3 linked regions of the Caenorhabditis elegans genome follow. The protein of the gene in region 1 interacts with the protein of each later gene in a biochemical or structural test. Each region holds a gene or a part of one and is shown on either strand. Other genes may lie near its edges.

Region 1 (4,697 bases):
GCACAATTATATTTTTATACTAAAAATTAGACCATACTCTGTATGAAGTGTTTCTCTTTTAACTGGAATAAACAGCAATCCAATTGATATCACAATTAGAAGAATCGCAGGAATGCATAAAATCACACCGAGCTGGAAAAAATACATTCAAAAGATTTCGCAATTAAGAAAACCTACTGTTCTCAATTTCAGAATCCTAAGATATAATCCAATGATCTTTTCCCGGAATATTCTGGATGCTTGATGTGGATACTTCTGTAATTAATTTAACTACGAGAATGAATATGTTTCTTGTACAATGGTTTACCATGAAATTCGAAACATCGTAGGTACCGGGTGAAAGATCTTGGAGACAAGGTTTTTGATTTCTGATGATGCTTGATTTTTTGACAATATTAGCTTTGCTGAAAATATTAAAAATTTAGATTTTTTCGGTAATTTCATGGCAATTCTGATCACTCACTCTGTGTTAGAAACCGGTTTATTACCAGCAAACAGTTTTTCAAGGGAGCTTCCAGTAATACTTTCAGCCTGTTCTTCATTTTCCAGTCGTTGCTTTGCTTGCATTGCTTCACGCTCTAAAAATAGCATTTTCAGTTTTAAAATCTCGAACCTTAATTTTTAAATACCTTTCCAAAACATATTCTTAGCAAAAAGCTCTTCACCAGCAGCCAAACAAAATGATGGTAGAACAGAAACACAAATCTTGTCAAAATTAGAATCAATGAAATACCAATAGACGAAAACGATTGGAAATATCAGAATTGATGTGCAACCCCAATTCTTCGGGAACCTTTCAAATAATTCATTTGAATATGAGTCTTGGGCTGCTTGATACTTTGTTACAGTACTAAGGAAGTATTGTATTTGACGAGAATCAGTCATTGTGTCAACTGAAATTAGATATCAAATTTTAAATTTAAAAAAATACAAAAAAATTTTAAGGCATACCTGTAATAAGAGAAGCAAAATTTGAGTTTATGGGAAACCGTTTTTCTCGTTGAATACATCGGGATAGTCGTTCAGTACAGAATGAAGAACGAGTTGTGAAGTAGAGATTAGCCAATGTAAGGACAATTATATACTTCTGAAATATATCTTTATACATTTAACTATTATTTCATTTATAAGCTTACTATTAATTCCGTATCCAAAACGATAACTCCATCGGTACTGCAGACAAAACAGAAAAGTAAACACGTGAGAGCATCTCGAACAAAAAACATGAAAGCTGATCTGAGAGGAGCACCAGACCATACGAAGATTGTGAATAAGATCACAATTAATGAATGTACATTAACCACAAAATGTATTGTTTGTTTCTCCGAAAATGATTGAAGTTTCGTAGTTACAGTATTATCCAAAACTCGTGATGTAACTCTTATCATTTTGCTCATTCTATTCTCTTTGAACTTCTCAGTTTCTTCTTTCAAGGCTAATCGGAATTCATGAATAAGTTCTTCAGCTTTTTCAATAGTCCAAATTGATTCAAAACCATTCACAAAGTCTGAATGTTGCATAGCTGATAAGAGCATTTCAGGAGTTAACAGGACAATTTCCGTTTGCATTGTATCAAATTGAGATTTTGTACTACTGAAGCTTCTCGATCCGTCGAAAAATTCAATTCCAGTGCTATTCAAATCATGAAAAATCTTATCGCATGTTTGATTTACAACATTTGGATAATCTGGCTTTTCAGTTACATGAGAATACATTTTTCTGATCTCCAACTCCTGCATCCATTCAATGAACTGTTCTTGATCATCCACACAATCGAGATTCATTGCGAATTCTTCATCGACATCTTCTAATTTGAACTGCAATTTTTCTTTTTTTTTTCAGTAATTGCGTGGTTATGCATATATTAATACCTTTGTCTTCTTTTCAGCGAAATTATCAACAGACTGCATATCTGTACATATATTGAAGTAGTGTTCAGAGTCCAGAGGTGTGTCACAGGAATGAATTGAAGCTGCACATGTTTTTTGGCGTGGTTCTATGCTCTGAAGATTTTGTTGGTTGTTGAAAAAAGAAGATTATAATTAAATGTATTCCTACCAAAAGCCAAAGCTTAATCTTCTGAAATAATGCATCTTTAGTTGAGTTGGTGAATGACTTCGATGGTAAATCAAACATGTGATCGGCCCAACTTTTGATCAGGCTAGGTCCATCTAAATACATATTTATTTGTTTTTTTTTTAACATATTTTTATTTTGATTTATTACAATTTGATTTCACATACGGCCTCTCATCATTTTCTCCAATAGCTTCAATATAAGAATTTCTAAGTCTTCGATTCAAAAAGTCGGTATTCTTATTCCAATTACTGATTTCACCATGAATACGGTAGATATCATAGAAACAGTTTAGAGGTGTCACGATAAGACATGGTGACAGACGTTGCATTTCAAGAAGAAGCCTCTGAAATTACTATTTTAATGAAATTTTAATTTTCTAAAAGTCAAGAAAACCTGGATATAATGTGGATATTCGTTTTGATCGGATGAAGAGGATTGTTGGAATATTGTAATATGTGGTTTAAAGCAGACATCATTGAGTGTGTATGTTCTAAAATATGTTGGACGTTTTATGGAAGAGTACGAATGAAATAAACTCACTTTTGGCGAAATTTAATTTTCAAATTTGAAATGTTGTTCAGTAAGTATCCATGTTGAGTGAAATGTAACGTTGATCGCATATCTACTCCATTCTCCTGGGTTTGAGCGATTTTCTAGAAAATTTATATTTATATAGTTTGAAAATTTAAAAACATTTGTTTGTTCACAAAATCATGTCATACTTAGCTTAAAGTTAAAAATATTTAGACCTTGTCATCTAATTCAAATAGCCATTTTAAAATTTTAAAAACTTTCAGTATCTGAATTCCAAATTGAAAAGGTTATACCTCGATAATGTATTCTTCATTGTTCGTACGAGTTTCGAAGAATCCCTGGCTGACAAACGATGGAAATATTGATTTTTCTTGATAATCAATTGATTTTCCAAAACATTCCGCTAAGAGCAACCCGAATGTTACAAAGGTGACAATCACCACCGAAACGAGAAGTTTATTGTATTTCAATTTCATTGTTCCATTATTATCTGTTAGTAAAATAATATCGTAAATAAAAATATTACTCAAAATAATTTGTAGGGTTAGAGAACCTATCATTGGAGTGAAAGATAGAGGAAAACGAAAATTTCAAAAAAACTTAATCTTCAATAAATTTATCAGAAAACAAAAATAAAACAACCGCGTAAAAAAAAGAGAAAACACAAAAAGGCTCCAATTATTCCTAAAATTCCAAGATTGTTAATCATCGGTCCATTCTTCGTCTTCTCCATCTTCTACTACCTCGTTTTGAACTTTGCCTGAAAATCGTTGATTTATAAAGAAACACGAGAAATTAAAAAAAAAACAACACTAATGAAAACAACTAACCTTTAGCAGGTACCTTCTGATCCTTAGCAACAATGCAATTGGTGACGTCAGCATTCTCTCCGATTTCTACTCCATCACAAATAATAGAGTTGCTTATGGAGGCACTGGAATGGAAAAGTATAAATTCAAGTTTTAATTCAAGAAATCAGTAATTGTGATAACAGAAGAATTCTTAAATCGAAAGTTTTCATATGTTTGTCTATTTATTAAGAAAATATCTTTTCCGAAAGCTCATCCGAAACTTCTCGCGCTACGAAAATCCCAAAACTAACCCATTTCCAATGACAACGCCTTTGGCAATGATACTCTCTTTTAGCTTTGTTTTTTCACCAATCCGACAATTATCCGAGATGAAAGACCGTTTGATAACTGAATCCTTGTCAATCTGAATGGAAATGTTCCCTAACTATTTTTGAACAAGTATTACCTCTGCGCTTTCTTCGATCCGACTCTCGTGGGCAGCAATTTTATCAGTTTTGTAGTTGAAATTCTTCCCATTTCCGCGATATTCCATCAATCGAGTAAAAGATTTTTGAATCTAAAAAAACAATTTAAAGGCTATATGATAATGCATTATTAGCACTTACAGCTTTATTCACTTCGAAATAAGAGCCAAGAGTATTCGCATGTGCAGTTACAAATCCATTTTCATGAGGAAGACGATATGCAAAGCATTTGATATCAGAATCCGGTTCAAATTGTTTATCAATCAGAAGAGGCACAAAATCGGCTTTGAATGATGAAATGTGTCTAGAAATTATACATTTAGAGTAAAACACATTCAAAGAAACACTTACTTTGATTTTGACAGATTAAGAAGAACTTTATGACGTATAGCATAAACATGACAATCATTGTACTTTGAAGTTAATTTGATCGATGGGAATATTTTCAAACTTTTCTCCATAACCAATGGAGCATCAAAATCATCATCTCCGCAAAGGAATGCAAGTTGACCTGTCGATTCTACTATTGCCATTACATCGGTGGCTGTAAATTAATATTTTGATAAATTAGAGGAAGGTTGAAATAAATAATACCTTTAGGTTTTTTCGATTTTGATCCCGGAGCCGGAGCATTGACACACGTATCTGCAATAAGAGCGACAAGCGTGGAATTTGTAGCTCGGAAGAAATCAACAAGTGGAATGAGACTGGCATCGCTGATAAAATCACAGGAAACAATCAATGCATCTTTCTGTAAAAATTAGAATTATTAAGGTAACTTCTTTTTCAGCTGATTGACTTACCGTAA
Region 2 (5,083 bases), on another chromosome or scaffold:
TTTCTTGTTTTGAAAACAGAAAATGGTTCAGAAAAGGAAAAATACCTTGTCAAGGACAAACTTGTAAGCATCCGCCTGAGAAAACATTAATCCCGAAGGCCACTCACACTTTCGTTTTCGGAACTGGTACCTCTAATCTCGAAAATTTCGTAAAAATCGAATTTTTGTGGATAAAATTTTTTTTCTGCTTCTTTTCTCCGAAATTAATTTTTAAAAAAAAGCAATTTTCATGTTGAATTGGAAAAAAAAACATTCTAAGATTTTTTAGTCGAATTTAACCTAAAAACTAAATACTCAAAAATTAAAAAAAAAAACTAATTGCCGTTCGGAAACGGCAAATCGGCAAACCTTGCCGATTTGCCGGAAATTTTCAATTTCTCCAAATTGCCGATTTGCCGTTTGCCGGATATCAATTTGCCGAAAATTTTTAGACAGATTTTTTATAAGACGGAAACTCGTAAGACTGTGCCTTTTTGAATTTTTTTCCCGTTTTCTTTAGATATTTTCATAGAGTTTGCTTACAATTTTCAAAAAATTTCCGGCAAATCGAAAAAATTGCCGATTTGCAGGAATTTCTCATATCCGGCAATTGCCGATTTGCCGGATATCAATTTGCCGGAAACTCTTAAAACTGTGCCTTTTTGAAGTTTTTCCCCGTTTTCTTTAGATATTTTCATAGAATTTGCTCAAAAAATTTCCGGCAAATCGAAAAAATTGCCGGTTTGCCGATTTGCCGGAATTTTCATTTTGCAAAATGCCAATTGGCCGTTTGCCGATAAAAAATTGTTTTCCGCCCACACCTGATTTGAATGTTAAAAGCGGAAAAATATCACACAAACGCGATTATTAGCGATTTTTTTCCGCGAGAAATACGGTACTCGGTCTTGGCACGAAAATTTTTTTCTTGAATGCCAAAAGGTTTTGCGCCTTTAAGAATTACTGTACTTTGAAACTTTCGTTGTTCCGGTATTTATTATCAATTTTTGAAAATGTATTATTTATTTATTTAAAAACTAACAATAAACACTGGGCAAAAAAAAAACTCCAAAAAAAAATGAAACTACCGTATTCTTTAAAGGCGCACACCTTTTTGCATTAAATTTCAAAATTTGGCGAATAATAAAAAAAACTACAGTCGCCTCAAAGAAAATTTAGAATATTTTCGCAACATTTTTTTCCATTTTTAGACGAAATTTACTCGAAAATTCCAGAGTTTTTCAAAAAATCCCAATTTCGCCTTCCTACCGTAGTCCAGCGCGGGAATTCAAAATTCTCACGTTCCACCGGTCTCCCTTATCAATATATATCATCCTCCCAATCACTTTCACTGGTTACTTTTTCAATTTCCCTTTTTTTGCGAATTTCCGTTCGCGAAAACGAAAAAATTCCAAAAAAAAAGACCGGTGGCTATAGATACAGTACTATTCCCCCTCTTCTCAACATTTTTATTTTTTTCTTACTTTTTCTCGGCGCTGGCGCCTAGTGCCCGCGGTGGTTTTGAGACTTATTATCAGTTTTTTATCAGTTACGCCACCAATGTACGGCGTCTCTCTGTCTCGTATGCTATTTTCGCATCGCCAAGGGGGTTAGATGTTCTTCTCTCCTATGTATATGTGCTATCAGTCGAGTACTGAAAATTGTGCACGGTTTTTCAAAAAAAAAAACCACCCAAGCCTTGACTCCTTTTTTGTCGTTGTTTTTTCTGGAAAACTCAAAATATTTGTTCTCCATGTTTTTAGCGGGTCTCACCACGATCGTGCCGAGACCCACCCGACAATTAATTTCTCTGCGCCGTTATTTGAAAATTTTTGGCTCCAAACTTTCAAATTGAAAAAGTCATGTATTTTTATATTTAACAGTTCCCAATTTTTTACTGATTTTCACTGAAAAATTGGCGAATTCTCATTCAAAAAGTTTTTAAAATTAATCGAGCCTTACTGTAGTTTTAAAGGAACATGCAGTAATTCTTGCGATGGGTCTCACCACGAACTCTATTCTTTGAATTTTAAATTTAAATTTAAAGATTTTCTTCTCATTTTTCTGCCTAATATCCTTCAAATCTATTGATTTTTTTTGCAGAGAATGTGCCAGGAGGCTCGCCACGTCATCTTCTAAATAATCAACACTATTTGGAGCATCAAGAGCCCCCGCGTCAAGCAATTTTCAACGCAACTCTCCAAATTCAACAGGAAATCAAAAACAACGAAAACGGCGGCATGATGGCCCCCAGTACTGAGGTTAATTCGAGGAATTTTGAATTAAAAAACTAATTTTTACAATTTTCACATTAAAAATTCGTTAAAAATCAATTCTCTCCAGGATCCCGATACGGTTGTCGAGGCTCAACGTCGTGGAAGCTTCTCGAAGAAAAAGAATGCAAATGGGTGGAATAAGGTGGAGCTTGTCGATCAGTGTGTAAGTTTGTGAAGCTGAAAAAAAAATCCATAAAAATCGAACATTTCTAGCGAAATCCCGGTATCTCTACCGCAAAATTCGTAGATTTTTGGAAAAATGCACATTTTTCAGACAAAAACTTTTCGAAAAAGCAGATTTATCACAAAAATTTGAGAAAAATCGAATTTTCACGTACCAGGAGTGGTTTTCCGGAAAAATTCACCGAAATTCGCTTAAAATTGAACTGAAAACGTCCGAAATTTCAATTTTTTGTTGATTTTCCCACTTTTTAAGCTTTTTTTTCAAACCTAACTGTATTTTAAAAATTTAGCCTTATTCAGAATTAAATCAGAATTAAAGAATTAAATTCAAACTTAAAAATTTTAAAAATTCGAGTTTGACAACATGTTGAGCTTGAAAATCGCAGTTTTAGGCTTAGGCTTTTAGGCTTATAATTAGGCTTAGGCTTATGCTTAAGCTCAGGCTTAGGCTTAGGCTTAGGCTTGGGCTTTTAGGCTTAAACTTAGATTCAGGATTAGGCTTTTAGGCATAGGTTTAAGCTTAACCTTAAGCTTAGGCTCAGGCTTAAACATAGGCTTAAGCTGAGGCTTAGTCTCAGCCTAAGGCTTAGGCTTAGGCGACGGATTAGGCTTAGGCTTAGGCTTTAGCATAGGCTTAGGCCTAGGCTCAGGCTCCGGGGAAGAGAAATTCCTAGAAATTCCTTTAAAAAACCCAGGAAAAACGACAAAAATCTGAAAAAAATGGGGCTTTCTGTAGTCGGGTCAAAAAAATGCATGTCTAGGCGTCTAATTTCAAAAACACTTCCAAAATATTATTTCCGGCAATTCCGGCAAGTACCCCGCACCCCTGAATCAGGCCTGCCGGTTTTTTTTTTCAAATTTTGCTCATTTTGCTCAAAAAAAAAACAGACCGAAAATTGAACATTTTTTCGGCGGCACCCCGGACCTTTTTTCTGCGGTCCTATAAAAACACGTGGTGCCAGACTGTCCCATCACGTTTTGTTGATCTACGAAATTGCGGGAATTTTTTGCCCAAAAAAATAACACGTTCTTAACCATGCAAAATCAGTTTAAAAGTGTGCGTCTCTTTTCCCGCATTTTTTGTAGATCAACGTAGATCAAGCCGAAATGAGACACTCTTACAGCACTTGTAAAAATATAAAAATCGATTTTCCCTCGAAAATCGCCAAATTTTCCCGCCAAAAACTTGTCGATTTTCTCGTCTCTGGGTTGTCCAACCGTGAGAATTTATATTTTTCTTCTTCTTCTTCTCAATTTTCTCAGCTCTACATGTTTCTCATTTCCTTTTTCGGGTTCATATCACCACCGTTACCTCGTCTAGACCGCCCGAATATTTCTGCTCCTCTGATCATCGAACACTGCTCCGCCACTACTTTTTTTTCGCTGGGCGCTGTTGCTGCTCCTGCCACGTCGTTTTTTTTTTCCGCTCGACTGATAAGGAGTTGTTCTATCCAAAATTCGAGAGACAGAGAATTCCGATAAAAATACATACATATTATTTTGAAGTTCTCGTGCACTTTTGCTCTTACACTGGCACCGCCGAGCACACCCCCGCCGCGGTTGATGAGGAGGTCAGAAAAGTATAATTTGGGTCTTAGCACGCCCTGAAAATGCAAAAAAATATGGATTTTTTCAGTCAGAAGCTCATTTTTTAGGGGATTTTATCTAGAAATTCCCTAAAATTTTGGGCCCTTTCTGGATTTTCTCATGAATTTTTTAAATCAATTTTTACAATTTTCCAGGCCAAGCAAATGGGTTCGGAGGACAAACAACCTGGTGGTGGCGACGTGAAAACCGAAAATGGTACGGGAAATCGCGCTCCGTTGAGAATGACCGCGCGATTCGGCGGCAATTTGAATAGTTTTAACGAAAAAAAATGCGGAAGAAATTCGCATTAGAGCGCATTTGCACCCACATTTTTTCTTTGAAAATCGCCCGATGGAGTCGGATGGACCACCCGTTTTCAGCTTTTCTAGAGAAATTATTCAGTTTTAGACCAAAAAATTCCACAGAAAATAGAAAATTCCACAATTTATAAATATACATTTATTAGAAAAAATTTTTGAATTTAAAAAAACGGGCGATTTTCGACTCTAGACACCGCCTTTTTTCAAAAATTTTTGTAATTTTTGGGCAAAAATGGCTCGGCAAACCGAATTAAAAAATTTCCGGCAAATTGGAAAATTGCCGGAATTTAAAATTTCCGGCAAATCAGCGAGTTGCTGAAATTTGAAATTTCCGGAAAATCGGAAATTGAAATTTCCTGCAAATTGGAAAGTTGCCGGAATTTAAAATTTCCGGCAGATCGACAAATTGGCAGAATTTGGAATTTCCGGCAATTCGGCAAATCGCCAGAATTTGGAATTTCCGGCAATTCGGCAAATCGCCAGAATTTGGAGTTTCCGGCAAATCGGAAAATTGCCGAAAGTTGAAATTTCCGGCAAATTTGCGGAATTGAGGATTTCAGGCAAATCGGGTGAAATTGGCAGAGTTGAACATTTCCGGCAAATCGGCAGAATTTGGAATTTCCGGCAATTCGGCAAATCGCCAGAATTTGGAATTTCCGGCAATTCGGCAAATCGCCAGAATTTGGAATTTCCGGCAAATCGGAAAATTGCCGAAAGTTGAAATTTCCGGCAAATTGGCGG
Region 3 (7,616 bases), on another chromosome or scaffold:
AAACCTTGCAGTTGAATATTTGAATTGAAATATTGGATATCAAGAAATTACAACATTTAAAAAAATCAAATCAAAATGGCAAAACATTCAGAGAAATGAGTTTGCTTGTATTACTTGGTTTTAAAGGCGCATGACTCTTTGAGATTACTCTATTGAAAATTTTTGAAACGTGAGAATTTCTAGTTCGCAAATTCGTAATAAATTTGATTAAAAAATATGTTGAATGTATCTAATTCACAGTTGCAATATTTTTTCTTACTATTATTTTCCATTGTATCTGAAAAATTAACAAGTTTCTCATTTTCATTACTACATAGTCATCGTGAAATTTCAAACACTAAATATATTTTTTCCAAGTAATTTTTGATTCCAATTCTTAATTATATTGATGAACAGATAGTTATTTTTGGGCCAGGAAAATAAAATTCAATGTAGCAATATATATTTGCATCAACGGAGCTCAACACCATTATATATCCTTATTTTCCCTGAATTGCCTTTATTGTGCTCGGTTGTAGCTACACTTGTAGACCCACGTCATCTGTCCACACCGCCTACTCGTTTGATCTTCTTTCCCGCGCATTCGATCTCTAAGTCACTCAATCTCCTATGCTATTTTAGTGAATCACGCACATGCAATAGCATTTGCTCACAATTGCAGACACTCAGTTACTGTGAGACAGGCAATATAATGGCCCTTCGGGATATCGAGTGTTGTCTAGAATGAGGTAAGTTGTGAGAAGATAGGAAGACAACGAAGTAAGATAAAGGAATTGTATTTGACTAAAAAATGAAATATCAATTTGATAAAAATATGTTTTGAAACTGTAAATTAATTTAATACATTGTTTTCTTTGACAGATCTTTGCATGTTCAATCAGTTTCTGATCTGAAACTTTCAGCTGAAAAGTATAGACGAATAAATAGTCAAATTTAAGTAAATTGATAATCTTAGATAGACCTAAAAAAGTAAAGTGAACCAATTCACGATTCGGTACGTTTCTGCCATAGAATACAACTCATTTCTTAAAATGATATAGAACAATACTTTAAAGAGTTATTCTAAAGAGTTCTAAGAGTTATTAAGAGATATTACTCTAAAGAGTTACTAAAGAGTATTCAATCTGAACCTTAAAGGAACATTAAAACTGAAGAAGATTATTTTGTTATTCGTTCTATCATTACTACAATCTTGCTCTTTTGATCTCTTGTCTCATGAGTATTTTGGTAGTTCAATCTGACAATTAACAAATTGTTATGCAGGATATTCGCAAATTTGGCAATCCTTATCATATCAATTACCGTCAAAGGTGGAACATACCATGTTTGAAACGAAATGAAGTCAATTGGAACATATAGAACGGTTACAGTATGCTCGATAAAGTATAATTTGATAAACTTTATTTTGTAAAACTATTGTATCAATCATCTACGGCATTAATCCTCAACCTTGAAAATAGATATGAAAGTAAAGTTGACAAGGCACAAAATTGGAACATAGTGATCGAAAATAAAGATATCTATTAATTGGAAATTGTTCGGCGAGGGGCTCTTCGAAACATTTACTGGGGTTTTATGAAAGTTTCTTCTAAAAAACATAATTTAAGATTGAGAGGTGCTCTCAATCAATTCAATATTTTCAAAGAAATAATCATATTCTGTGAAATCAACACTTAAATTATACATTTTTTCATATCTTTTAAAAAATGGAGTTGTATTTACAGGATTTAATGAGATTGTTGAGAGTGACGTCACTGACGAGCAGATATGTTTCAAACATGAACTAATTAGTTTCTAGTATAGTTTTGCCTAGTTTCTTATATATTAAGCAGAAACAACGGACCAGTTCTTCAGCTTCTGAGAGTAGATTATATCTTAGGAGCATACATGAGCACTGTATGTACCTTCTTTGTCTAACTTTCTTTGAGTATCTAAGTCTCTTCAGGTTCTATATCCATCATTCAACCAAATGACACTGCAGGGATGCCTATCTCCTGACTGAACCCACCAGTCGTCTCTTGCTCATATTCCTCCTACCTTCTGCTTCTATTTTCTCAGCGCATCTTGTCCACCTACAGTAGTAAATCTCCTCCCTTTCCTTACGTTGCATTATGAGATATCTCCCAATTTTTGTGTTTCTCGGATCATTTGGCTATACGGAAACTACATTAACAAAGGAACTTATCAAAGATGCAGCTGAGAAATGCTGTACAAGAAACCGTCAAGAATGTTGCATTGAAATTATGAAATTTGGGTGAACCGCTTTTACGAGCACGAACAATGCGATAATCGGTATAATTTAGAACCCCAATTCGATGTGGTTATGACAGGGATCCGAAGCTACCCGGATATGTCTACAAATGTCTTCAAAATGTGTTGTTTGCAAAAGAACCAAAGAAAAAGATTAACTTGGATGGTGAGCGTTTTTTTTTCAGGTAAAATTCTCCTCACAAGCCAAGATATCAAGTTTTGTTTATTCTTAAGAAATATAGGAAATGACTAATACGGTATGTACAAGTTAGTTTTAACTTGAGGAAAATCGAGAAACCGGTGGCATAGCGCCCGCCCGTGAGGTCATTGATTGGCCGGAGGCAGAAAGACCACACGCATTGAAAAGTCACAATATCTTTTCTGCCTCTTTCATTCGTATACTCTTTGGAAATTTTCAATAATTTTGAACATTTTTTTTTTAATATTCTTGCCTCAAATTGTTTTGAAAAAAATCAAAGTAAATCATCAGAGGCTTCTCTGATTTCAAAATAATAGTTAGAACGTAAGTAAAGAGAGAGCGTTTGAAATTTTTCATGAGTAAGATTATTATTACTACTTATCTTTAACTATTTGAAATTTAAAAATGGCATGCAATGTATGGGAGAAATATTTGAAGAAAGCGCCCAAGACTTCAAGAATATCTGAATTTGAGGAGTTATATCACAAAAACTGAGCCTGCAACCTATACTAAAAAGTATACCAAAACAAAGATAAAATTAAAGTCTTTGTTTCTGAGTATTTATTATCATTTGAAAAATTATTTAATAACACGTAAAACGTCTTCAAACTAACCCCAATTTAGAATGTTCGCGCTCTCTCTTGCTGAAATCAATTATAACTATGATAGAATGATTATTCGAATAATTCATAAGGGCTATTATTTTTTCACTTTAAATTATAAAACGAATACTTTACCAATTTTGAAACAAAGTTTCTGCCAATGTGAAATTAAACTGGAAATTGAAGTTTCACCGCTAAGTTCGAAAGCAAATGTTGGGCATTTCCATAATCCGAGTTACAGCAGAACGAGATGTTATCATATAGTAAAAAAATTGTTCAAACATTTTTCGATATTTTAGAAATTAGAAAAAATGCAGTACGATGACGTAGACAATGGTAAGAGGAGGAAGATAGTGCGTATGTGTGCGCAGAGAGGTACAAGGCTTCGGGCATTGGGCAGTCGCCACCATACGCTCGATCGATATATTCAAAGTCGGTCAGGCTTTTAACAATTTGAAGCTTACTGATATCAGTAAATTTGTGATAAATGTCAAGGATACCGTGTCTTTGAAGCAACTTAAGCTCTCTATAGTTTCCTGATTTGATTTCACTTCAACATACTACATTTCCAGTTATTGATAACACTTATCAACTAGCATTTAAACATTTTCTCATATCTATAATAATGTTTGATTTCCTGTAAATAGTTTCCTCTTCCATTTCGAATTGTAATATTTCCCTCAATAACATTGGAACCTTGTTCAACTAAATAGGGATCACTTTGACAACACCTAAAGCATCTACAAAAAATTTTTGGTAATGTAACAACCAAGTTTTCTAAAAGAATTTGACATGCTCTATTTGTTAGAAAAACTTTTTGATTATGTTTCAGGCTCAGTTTTTGAGATATTCAACTCTAAAGTTGCAACTTGTTCTAGGTGGTCCGTTCAATTGTCCTAGGGTTGTGCAGGCAATTGGTATTGCGCAGGGAGAATAGACGGACCCTTGTGTCTTGCGTACCACCTGTCATCATGTTTCGAGAGTAGATATTCTTCAAACCCTCAAACTATTTAGAAATATATTTTTTAGCCTCAAAAAGTTACGTTTTTCGTTCAGAATTCTATTAGGGCTACGTTTTAACATAAGTTTTAAAATAGGCTTCTTTATTTGTTTTTGAGATATTCATGGCCAAAAAAAAACTTTACAGTATTGAATTTGGCTCTAATATTTTTCAATACTTGTTCTCTACAATGTTAAAAAAAAATTAATTTCGCCTACTCATTTGATCATTTAATAGATTTATGAAAACATAAAAATTATGATAACAATGTCTTTGAATTCTCTGATAATGTTCATAATTTGTTTTGATCTTTCTCGTGTTATCTCTCCAAGATAAAAGAGTGTTCTACTGCGAGCACTGATACCATATCTTTGCATGTTTATCCTTTTATCAGTTGACTCACTCTTTTGTTAGGTGTATTGATTAGATGGGAGACTCCCCTGCAACAATTGTCCTACAGGAGCAGAGCAGTTGCTTTTTTTCTTTTGACATCTTGCATTTTTCGTTAGAAAGAAAATATTTAAGTGCCGCCGGGAGCAATCTGTTTTATTTACAAATATATCAGAATGCACGGCATCAGCTAATAAATATTGAATAAGTATTTTCTTGTTCTCACCCCTGTACAGTTTGCTTTTCTATTCCTCATTACACCTCCCAATCCAGGTGTGCTTGGTCCTTCATCTTATTAGATCTGCCATACGGTATAGGAATTACGATCTACAGTCGTCATAAAAGAGTCCGCAATACCGTCATGTGTGTCGAGTTGCAACAAAAGAGTATATGGGAAATGAGAGACTACGGTAAATGAGAGATACCGTAGACGAGATATAATGTAAGAGAGTGGTAGATCAAATGAGATGAAAAACGCGTCGATTAGGTCCATCCAGGAGAAACTAGATTGCGTAGAGCAAACATAGCTGTTTTGACGGGAACAATGTTTTTTGAGACTACAAATATCATAGCTTCAGCTACATCTGAGGTTTTCAAATTTTTCTCGAATAGCTGATAAAGTGAAACTTCATAATGAAGGTAGATATCAGTGCTCAAATAATGTATACCGTATTCCCCGTTATTGTATTAGACCTTATTGTTCAATTTTACCAGCTTATATTTTAGTTAGCGTTTGTTCTATTCAAATATTGCCAATTGAGAAACTATTATTTCTTTTTCAATTGCTTGCAGTTAAAATTTATTGATATCTTTAAAATGAGTTGATAGTGAGATATAAAGCTTTCAATTAAAATAATGTGGTGCAATACTATTAGAGAAAATACAGTAATCTTACTAAACTAAATGCACGCGTGATTAAATCCAAAAAGTACAGAACTTAATTGGTTTATTTAGGTGCGTTCCCCTGAGCAGAAATTGTCTTAATATAAATTAATTTGAAAATCTGAAATTCGAGAAATTTCTACTTTCTGTAAAGTTGTGAATATTCACTAATTTTATTGATAATATGAGGTTTATAGAAAAACTTACAAATGCATTTGACTCACAGAATTGCTATAATTTTACGATTTCCCAGAAGAGACTTTCCCAAAAGAAATCGTTATTTTTGAGGGACAAATTGTCTTAATTATCGATCTATTATTTGCCTCTTCACACGTAAAACATGCCAACACCTGTCTCTTTTGACTCCGCCTCTCTGATTGCCCCGCCCATTTGCCCATCCCACGCCCTAATCTCATATTGTCTTTATTCAGACTCCGTGTGCTGCTCCGTGTTTGGCAACGACCAAAACGATTCTGGAAGAAGATGTGAGAATCGTTGCAAGAACCTCATGACCAGCCCTTCCATCGACGCTGCCACACGTCTGGACAGCATCAAAAGTTGCTCGCTTCTGGATAATGTACTGTATAAAGTGAGTTTTTGTTAACACAGAATTTCAGTTCGCCTATTCTAGTTAGACAAACGGGTAAATTGAAAATATTCGGTGCAATCTGTCTTATGGTTTTTTCAGCTCCTGCCTATTTCAGTACGTAGTCCTAATTTTTCCAGTTTTAAAGAAAGGATCCCTAGTTGACCAAAGCCAAGTTTAAAAATATTAAATTATCTCCAACTCTGTAAAAACGGCTGCGATTTGCAGACTTTTTCTTGGTCCAGGCAAACAATTTTGGAGTTCGTCCCATCCATTCCCTCGTCTATAAAATTCATCCTAAAACGGAGAAAATTAAAAAAAAAATTCAATTGGCAAGCGGAAAATCCGATAGTGGATAGATATCACCCCAAAAATTGTTCGCCTAGGTTGAGATACATTTTTGGAGCAGTGCGTCAGTCCAGGAACCACGTTTTTCAAAGATATCTCATTCGATATTCTAATCGTTCAATTCGAGTTAATCAAGTGTGTCATAAAACAAATTTATTTTTCAGTGTTTTGAGAAATGCCGGAGCCTCCGTAAAGATGGTATCAAAATTGAAGTGCTCCAATTCGAAGAATACTGCAATGCAACGTTTATCCAAAAGCGAACTTTCCGAGGAGTCTGAATCTGGGCTCATTAGCCTAAAACATCCCTAATCCGCCGTTGTCATTATGGCACTCTCCATCATGAGTGGTCCAATTTTTTCTTTTCTTTCTAAACCTTTTTATTTTATTTTTTGTAACACCTCTATGTCTACCTCTTAATCAAAGCTTTGAGCTTTACTCACTTTGAGTTATATTTTTAATCTTGTGTTCTCCTTATGTTGAAGAAAATTTTCGATACGCAACTTGTCATATTGTTGTATATATTTTTAATAGAATTTTTTGAAATGTCCTATTCTTATTGATTTCTTCTTAACATTCTCTTCAAGAATGTTTTCGGATGCGCTCAGATGTCATGAAGGCGCACTACGGTGCGGTCCTGATTTTATTTATTTTTTTTTTCATAAAAAATATATCTTCTCTTGTTGGTTTCTCCTAAAGTTGTCAAATATGAATATTCAAGTACTTTCTACGATCTTTTTTATTGAATAAATTGTTTTATCAACGCACAGAACCCATACGACATAATCAACAAAAAATGATAAGAAAGTGATTTTCGAACTACAAATTTTATCAATTTTTTTTCAATTCTCTGCTTTCTAACAAATTCTAAATTTTATTTGTAATTTTAGTTATTCAAACTGCAAAACGAGCAAAACTTTATTTCTTATCCGTTTTGAAAGATTAATAAACTAAATGTAATGTTGTTTCTCATATTCTGCTTGTTATTTTAAACTGAATAATGCTTTAGAGCTAGCAAGGAAAAATCAATCAATTCATTCGAAATTGATAAAATGGCCATTAAGGTTTTTTTTTAAATTTTATGTGTTAACACATGTGTTGGGTTTCATCATAAACTTGTACTTGGTGGAATTCAAACTATATAAGTTTAGATTTTTTGTAAATCAACACAAGTTACCAAAACTGTTCAGGCGTGATCCGAGTTTGAAGTATGGATTCTGCTAACTTAAGTTTAGAATACAATATAAGAATAAAGTTAAGAAAACAATTAACTCAAGAAATGCCGATGTTCTTAAAAGCAATTTTCAATGTTCAAGCCATAGAATTTAAGTACTTTTTTATTGACTCTCTGCTAAAAACCAA

Evidence for each region.
Region 2: the proteins of tra-2 (region 1) and tra-1 interact in far-western blotting, tested with the Caenorhabditis elegans proteins (one study listed by BioGRID).
Region 3: the proteins of tra-2 (region 1) and her-1 form a complex in vitro, tested with the Caenorhabditis elegans proteins (one study listed by BioGRID).

The regions. Positions count from the first base shown.
Region 1 is NC_003280.10:6,962,585-6,967,281, forward strand, and holds the start of tra-2 (Sex-determining transformer protein 2), read right to left. Parts: upstream 3,090-4,697; coding exon 2,907-3,089; intron 2,733-2,906; coding exon 2,620-2,732; intron 2,570-2,619; coding exon 2,473-2,569; intron 2,423-2,472; coding exon 2,227-2,422; intron 2,172-2,226; coding exon 2,059-2,171; intron 2,004-2,058; coding exon 1,872-2,003; intron 1,818-1,871; coding exon 1,137-1,817; intron 1,088-1,136; coding exon 952-1,087; intron 894-951; coding exon 630-893; intron 579-629; coding exon 464-578; intron 405-463; coding exon 308-404; intron 256-307; coding exon 178-255; intron 133-177; coding exon 38-132; intron 1-37. Other genes in the region: eif-2Bgamma (Translation initiation factor eIF2B subunit gamma), read right to left, coding at 3,315-3,373, 3,444-3,547, 3,716-3,828, 3,871-3,981, 4,031-4,193, 4,241-4,433, 4,484-4,640, 4,693-4,697. UniProt on the Caenorhabditis elegans protein: Plays a major role in controlling sexual cell fates.
Region 2 is NC_003281.10:11,192,197-11,197,279, reverse strand, and holds the start of tra-1 (Sex-determining transformer protein 1), read left to right. Parts: upstream 1-2,078; 5' UTR 2,079-2,216; coding exon 2,217-2,237; intron 2,238-2,319; coding exon 2,320-2,415; intron 2,416-4,177; coding exon 4,178-4,238; intron 4,239-5,083. UniProt on the Caenorhabditis elegans protein: Plays a major role in controlling sexual phenotype. Terminal global regulator in a well-characterized cascade of sex-determining genes. Promotes female development. Interacts with tra-2 to promote spermatogenesis.
Region 3 is NC_003283.11:9,695,018-9,702,633, forward strand, and holds her-1 (Protein her-1), read left to right. Parts: upstream 1-1,997; 5' UTR 1,998-2,111; coding exon 2,112-2,254; intron 2,255-2,303; coding exon 2,304-2,416; intron 2,417-5,752; exon of another isoform or gene 5,753-5,754; coding exon 5,755-5,912; intron 5,913-6,421; coding exon 6,422-6,535; 3' UTR 6,536-7,018; downstream 7,019-7,616. UniProt on the Caenorhabditis elegans protein: Dictates male development. Probably plays a direct role in cell signaling during C.elegans sex determination. Inhibits the function of tra-2a.